Linked DNA regions of Daphnia pulex. The protein of the gene in region 2 purifies or fractionates together with the protein of the main gene of each other region. This does not show direct contact. Links are inferred from orthologs where the notes say so. Each region holds a gene or a part of one and is shown on either strand. Other genes may lie near its edges.

Region 1 (3,819 bases), on a different chromosome or scaffold from region 2:
AACACCCCTCCCTTATTTATTTCAACGAGAAAATTGTGTGTGTGTTAGTATATCCCAACTGCCGCTGGACGCGACTCATCACCGACTGAGGGGCACCAACAGATTGCTGCACGTTTACACACACACACACCACACCCTTCCTGCTGCGACTTCTAAATATATAATGGCGGCTGCTGCTGCTGCTGCTGCTCGTTACTGGCTAACACTGCACGTGGGAACAACAAACGCGAGACTGCACGCACACTCTACTATACCCTGCCTGGAAAATAAAAATGGCCACATCACGTGATTACCCGTTCTCTTCGTCGACACTGACCGCCTGACCCCAATTTCGCCTTTACTTTTTCGGATATTGTAATAGTTTCTACGACATTGTACAGCATTTCGCCTACCTGGCAATGTCTTCTTCGCTAACGGCCCGCGGAGTCGAAACTTGAAGTGCACCAGGAATTTCGATCGGATCGTAGGCACCGCTGACGTCAAGAGGCGCTGCCAAAATAAAAAGATGTCGGCCACAATCAGTATTCCGATCAGACACACACACTCGACCAAACTAAAATTTTTAGAATAACTTACCGAGTCCTGGATTAGGAGACGGAGGCTGATGCGAGTGGTGAGTCGTTAGATTGACGGCCGACTGTGAGAGTAGAGGCGTTTGTTGCAGGAGAGTAGTAGGGGGCTGTCCGACGACTTGCATCGGCGCTAGAGGCGCATCCGTCTTGGCCACGACCAATACGACGCGATCTGACGTGCACTTGAGCGCCGAAACGGCGTCCTCGTGCGAAACGTTTTCTAAATTTTTCTCCGTCATCAACTGTATAGAACAAAAGGTTGATTTTTAGTTCGGCCACTGTTATTGTTTTATTTTGTGACGGTACGTACGGGTAAATTCCGGACGAGAATCAATTTGTCGCCGACAGCGAGTCGCCCGTCAACTTGAGCCGCTCCGCCATCCATGATCTTGGTAATGTAAATTCCATTATCGCCGGGAATATGTTGATTTCCCGAGCCGCCCGCGATGCTGAATCCCAGTCCTTTGTTGCCCTTGCACAATTCAATTTCGACGATGCGAGGAGATCGGGGCTGTCTGCGTCGCCTGACGCTCTGTAGACAACCAAAAAAAGAGAAAGGTTATACGAATAAATACGTAGACGAAGGTCTCTAGAGGGTGACTCACCAAACGGACGAGGTTGCCGGCCCTTTTGAGCGCTTCGACTGCAGCTGAATGGGGAACGTTCACCACCGACACATCGTTCACTTTCAAGATGACGTCGTTGATCTTCATGCGGCCGTCGATGGCAGCCGCACCGCCCGGGATGATCTTCGTCAAACAGATGGCTGGATCGTCGCCGATGTGCGGGTTGTCAGTTCCACCCGAGATGCTGAATCCCAAACCAGAGCTGCCTCTCTCGAGAATAATTTCTTCGTAATCCCACGCCGATTCATCGCCTCCGTTCGCCTGTGTGTCACACAATAAAAAGGAATTTCAATATTATCGTTTAGACATATTCCACGCGTTATTATATACTCACATGCTTGTCCACGACCAATCCGGGTGACAGGTGAGATTGAATCTGTCAAAGAGAAGAGGAAATTCGTCATTAGTCAAAACAACATTTGGTGGTTCAATAATTATTAATCAAGTAAATGCATTGCTTCGTTGATGATGTGACAGGTTGAAATGCACTGCGAAGGAGGGTCACAAACCCCCAACTGTTTGCCACACGTTATTCAGCTGATAAAATTAACTGTCACAGGACCGTTAGGAGAACTGGCACACAAGTGTTTACAGTCAAGTTGGAGAGCGACTGTTTCTCAACTGTGACTTTCCTCTCCAATCATTTAGAATCCAATATTGACAGAGTGCAAGGTAAACATTTTCTGTTTGGCCAGGAAACAATGCCGTGAAATGTTGATGAGGGTGGGGGGAGATAGAGGTAATCACGAAACTAACCAACGGACGCCGACCGAAATTTCCCACACACGACATAGGGAGGGGGAGGGGATACGAAAGTCTGTGGTTTTCATTTTTAACGGCATCCGATAGGGAAAATACCCGAACATGAAAAACAGGAGAAAGGAAACGACAAAAACTTACGGCAGCGTTCACAGACCAAGTCGATTTCCACTTTCGCCACCAATCGTTCTTGGCCATCTTGCCACATGAACAACAGCAGACAGACGGCGTCGATAGATTTATTTAAAAAACAAGGCCGGACTAAACGGAATTTTTATTTTTAACTTTTTCCTATTGTTTTTTTTAATTAAAAAAAAAAGTCACGCCTTTCCAAATCACTAACGCAACACTATGACGCAATTTTTTATTTAAAAAAAAAGTTAAATTTGCAAGGCTTAAAATTAAAAACTGCCACCAACGGAAAAATTGGAAGCCGACCAGTTGAGACTAGAAACTTTTTTTGGGAGCTGCCAACACACGAAACATCCACCAAGCAAACTGTGTGTGTGTTATCTAATTGCATGGGGTGGCCCTTTTCCGGTCTGGACACCTGTACTGCCGTGTGCTGCTCTCTTATGGAAGTTTTTTTATTTTTTTTTCCTTTTTCAATAGATACCGAAAAACTACACAACAGACACACACCGTGGGCGAGTTTTTCTTTTTTTCTTTTTCTTTTTTGGCGGGGGGGAGACTAGAAAATATAAAAGAATGGGTGTGGAACATGGAACTCGTCTGCTATTGGTAGGTGACGTCAACACAGCATTGCCAAATCTATCGCTAAATTCGTCTTGATGATGCGCGCAGACACAATTAAAAACAAAATAGAAAACAGCCAAGGTTCTTAATAAAAACGCAAGACTTAATTCGGGGGGATTGATTTCGTAGATTGATTGAAGATTTTACCTTCCGTCGTGTTTTCATCCTAGATGGCTGGTAATTTATATCGAGGTGTTATATTGAATTCAAAAACCGGCGTTTGGAAGCATCAAGAGTTTCGATGGAGAAACGGGGGGAAAAAATGGCGCGAGCGTCGGCTGCGAAAACTCGCCTGCAACTGATCACTTGCACCGGTGCACAGTAAAATAAGCTCCAGACACACACAGCTCACACGCCGACCAGCAGCAGCAGTGGCAAATATAAACCATCCGGCAGGAGCACACAGTACAACAACCCAAAAAGCTCGTCACAAATAAATAAAAAAAAGATCCCAACAAATTGGGAAACAAAAAATGAAAAAAAAGAAACACACACAACGTCACTAGCCGGATCTGAAAAAGCCAAACTCGACGCGTTCGGTATACACAACTGAATTTTCTCTCTCGCTATACTACTTTGACAGCCTTCCAACTACTGCTACTGTCATTGGCACACTCGAACCATTTTCCATAGAAACCAAAATAATCAAATATTATTATTATAACAAGTTGTGAACCCCCAACAAATAAGAAAAAATGATCCAATCGCCACTGCCTTCTCACTCGGACTGATGGCCACTAACAAGAATGGGGGGAAGAAATGTCTAAAGAAAAAGCCTAAAAACTTCCAATATGCTGCGGAGGAGGAGGAGGAAAAAAATGTCCAGGTTTTCCCCCTCGGGGCATTAAGGGTCTCACATGAATAGAAAGTAACTGGAGGATCGTTGGATTTTGAAAAAGAAGAAAACAGGTTTCCCTTTTCTCTTGGCTTATTCTTCGCCTTCCAGGTACATTCCAGTAAGCTCCTGACATCTCTTGGCAAAGCCAACAACGACAGTGTGAGATTTCTAAGACCACATAAAATCCTCCACCAGAAAAATTCCGTCCAGGCTTTTTTCAAGGGGTTATATTGACTGTACGTGAATTCAACGATGCGTGGACAATGGC
Region 2 (3,819 bases):
TAACCAAACTCTGCTCCCGTTCTACATCGCTTTCGGTTTTATCTTGTTTTTGCATCAGTCGTTGTAGCTGTTGGTCAAGATGCTGCCGTCTACGTGCCACGGCATCACTCCACTTGTCTCGCAACAGGAGCAGATCTTCCTCTTGATACGAGTCTAGCTGCTTTTGAAGTTTGGACCTAGCCGAAACACTTCCTATTTCGACACACGTTACTGTTTCACAGACCAACGGTAACGTGCCGGAATCACGTACAGGACGGACACGTATGCAAACTCTTCGTTGCTGTCCTTGGCGGAGCTGATAGACACCCCCGGAAAGGCAGTCTCGGTGGATGACCTCAACTGGAACGTATTCACCGGAGTCACTCAATTCCTATTGGATGTGACGTCACAACGTTAGAGACTCGACAAGAAACGAGTTGCCAATTAAATGAATACCTGAATTTCCACCCATAATTCAATTCGTCGTGAAACTTCACGCCATTTATCCGCTAAAGATCTCACTTTTGCTAGCTGCTGCTGCTCCACTTCCCATGCGGTTTTCCCTGCTTCAAAAAGAAATACAAAAAATTAAATGGAAAACGCCAAAAAGTACAATTGAAATAGCACACTAAAAATACCTGTAAAACCACCGCTTCGATGGCCCCAAACCTCAATTGACAGCGCCCCTTCACTGCACAGATCCATGAACTCCTCGGTTAATGGCACAGTAAAATCTTTGACGTGATCAAAGCGAATGCGAACATCGTTTTGATTTCGACGATCCTCATCCTCGTTACTTATCACTGTCGGTACCACTACAGCTTCTGCTTGACCGAACATATTATACTGGCAGAAAACAAAATGCGATAAGGATGCCGGCAATCCGCAGACCTATAAATAAAAATTACAAAAATTAGCGGGATGAAGAATAAAAGACAATTGTCAGGATTGCTCACCTGATGAATGCTAACACGACATGTGATCGCAGTACAATGGCCATTGGATGAAGCATCTTCATCTTGCTCGTCCCAATTCTCGCCAGAGTCCGATTCACACATGTGATCGGTAGGAAACTGCCCAGCGATTCTGCTCAATTCCACCTAAGTAACATTAAAGCGATGAACAAACGAGAGTTTAATTATTAAAAAAAAAAATCTGTGTGATACCTGCAGCTTGCCAGCCACTTCTCCTTGCTGAGATATAATAGGAACATAGTAATTCAATCGGACATCATGGAACAGAACATCCATGTAGATATTAGCAACACCTATTAAACTATGGCTCTCTTGCAGCTCATAAAATGGATCCGAACCTGTTAAATAAAAGAATTTTATTTTAGAATGGCACAAAATTATTTACATAGAATCGGGTCCTAAGATACCTGGAGATAGGAAAGGGTTTTCTCTTCTGTTGAGTGGATCCACATTTTTGAATTCGTTGTAGAGATCTCTCATGTCCACTAATTTGACGTCTAATTTATCTAATGACCAGATTTGATTGGGTTTTCCCGTCCGCCTGACGTGAATCGCAGGCTCGCTCACCAGTCCTATTCGCTTACGATTTGGACTTAGATTGGCAGGTGGAATTTGGAGGGTCACACTGAAGCGCGTCTGTTTGCCGAGTTCTTCGGCCAAGACATTGGCTTCGCGAGCGAGGGAATTAGCACGGACAATGTCCTCTCTGAGCTGCGCCAAACTTCGGCGAAATATTTCATCTTTCTCTTGGGCCCACCGTTCTGAACGGGGCGTTCCTGATCCCATTCCGCTACGCAGAGATCGATTGCTGAGATCGAGCGACGAAAAAGATGAAGAAGGCGACATCGGAGAGAGAAGTGAAGTGCGGAGTTGGTGAAAGTGTCGTTCGTATTCCTGTCGTTGGCGCTGTAGGGCTCGTTGTTTGTCTTCTTCGTGCTGCTTCTCCAAACGGGCAATTGCATTCTAACGGGAAAAGAACGGATTAATAAGCTGCCAGCCATTCAACAATATTTTTTAATGCAGCTTACTTGAATGGGGTCATTGGACATTTCTTTCAATACCAGCTCTTCGCGTGCAAAATTGAAATCAGGTTGAACTTGTTCCTCACTAGTTGGACTAGGACGTGGACAGTTAACCCGAAAGAAATGGTTGTTCCCCCATAAAAGACGATCGCCGTGACGAAGTAGTACTCGAGCTATAACCGGAGATCCATTTAGGAAGCATGGTGCCACTCCCAATGGTTCCATAAACAATTGCCCATTCTCGATCAACAACTGGCAGTGCTCAGTCTGGATGCCTAGTCCCGACAACTGGATATCAGGCTGAGTGTCTGCGTCTTGCCGTCCCACAAGAGTACGATCCTAAATAAAGAACAAATAAACGGTACACAGACGGAACAAATGCCAGCTGACGGACAGAATGGGTTACCTTTAAATAGTAGACTAATAGTTCATTAAGTGATGGGTCGGCGTTCAAGTTCACCAGATAGAATTTATTCTTTTCCACTTGAATGCCTGAGGCTTGAACCGAAATGCCCATTTTTTCAAGGGCCTGCTGCCGGTCGTGGTGGACGCGTTCTGTTTTGACCAGTTTCTCCTCCCACGTTTCCGACATGGCGCTCATCAATTTTTCCGACTGATGGAGTTGCTCGCTGAGATCGTCTCGGTAGACGGCATGCTAACAATAAGAACAAATACAGTATTAGAATTACACGTTTCACTACTTGATTTCCAGTCAGGGTTGGAAGTGTTCACGGAAAACATTGCGCCCACACTAAACACGCCTCTTTAATAGTTCTTCTCTAGAGCGGAAATAACTCGGGATCAGACCAAAGACTATAATGCTACTCTCAAAGGGCACGTAAAGTCTACGTAACAATAGAATGCCACATCTCACAGCTGTGCCATAAGACCACCCGCAAGACAGAAATGTCTGTCTATATCCTGGCATGACTTTATTGAAGATGAGAAAAATTATCTGGGCATTCCCACACTTGGCACGGAAAAGAAGAAGTCAAGGATTAGGGTATCCCCAAACTAGCTAATGGAGTATTGTGTATAGGTTTATATTTATAACCCTGGTTCTTAAGGGACTTGAAAAGGGTCCTAAACCAAAGATTTCATCCCATGTTCGCATTTCCTAGGCTTTCTCTAGCCTCCTTAACCCCTAATAAACAATGCCTCTGCTGAAGGCGCGTTCGACGTACCATCACAACGGACTTGAGAGGCTTAAAGAAAGAGAACACGAGGTATAGAGAGACACACTTCGAGAGGTATCCATACGTTTGAAGGGGAAAAAAAAGAGAATGATATTGATTACCTTCAGTTGTTCTTTGAGGAACTCTAATTCTTCTCTCAGTTCTCTGATGATGCGGCCGTTGGGATCTTCGTTAACAACTGCGTGGCAAACAATACGTTTAGCTCTGTCGGCATAACGTAAGGTTGACAAAGTTTCCTCGTAGTTGTCTGAAGCTGGAGATATAGTAGCTACCATGACTGTTCTACTGTTGCCACCCAAGTTGTCCTAAAAAACACGTCGTCAACACATGAAAATGAATTCAACTTTAAATGCGATTTTAAACATACCTTTAGAAGCCATGTTAGCACAGAATCTCGGTAGGGTACAAATTTGTCTTTGTTCTTTAAGGTGGCTTGATCGGCCAATTTGGATATGACTAAACCCAAAGTTGTAAGTGATTTATTGATGTTCGATCCCTCTTTCAATCTGTCGCCGACTGCTCCCGTCTTGGAGACGCGTTCAGATCCAGCCAAATCGACCAGGGACATTTTACTGACCTTTGATTTTTCGTAGAACGGTTAGCAACGTTAATCCAAAAAGTTTGGTGCTATAAAGTTAAAAATTCGAA

The links.
Region 1: the proteins of kinesin-like protein KIF13A (region 2) and disks large 1 tumor suppressor protein-like purify together in Drosophila melanogaster (affinity purification with western blotting; 3 studies listed by BioGRID). This does not show direct contact. The link is inferred for Daphnia pulex from reciprocal best matches to the Drosophila melanogaster genes Khc-73 and dlg1.

The regions. Positions count from the first base shown.
Region 1 is NC_060025.1:307,984-311,802, reverse strand, and holds part of disks large 1 tumor suppressor protein-like, read right to left. Parts: intron 3,583-3,819; exon of another isoform or gene 2,879-3,582; coding exon of another isoform or gene 2,861-2,878; intron 2,693-2,860; exon of another isoform or gene 2,156-2,692; coding exon of another isoform or gene 2,099-2,155; intron 1,575-2,098; coding exon 1,533-1,574; intron 1,460-1,532; coding exon 1,178-1,459; intron 1,105-1,177; coding exon 883-1,104; intron 815-882; coding exon 577-814; intron 490-576; coding exon 393-489; intron 1-392. UniProt on the Drosophila melanogaster protein: During embryonic development, some isoforms are essential for proper neuronal differentiation and organization. Required for cell polarity; maintenance of apicobasal polarity.
Region 2 is NC_060019.1:7,992,971-7,996,789, reverse strand, and holds part of kinesin-like protein KIF13A, read right to left. Parts: intron 3,749-3,819; coding exon 3,539-3,748; intron 3,477-3,538; coding exon 3,273-3,476; intron 2,631-3,272; coding exon 2,382-2,630; intron 2,315-2,381; coding exon 1,982-2,314; intron 1,917-1,981; coding exon 1,361-1,916; intron 1,292-1,360; coding exon 1,146-1,291; intron 1,080-1,145; coding exon 936-1,079; intron 871-935; coding exon 618-870; intron 546-617; coding exon 436-545; intron 371-435; coding exon 1-370.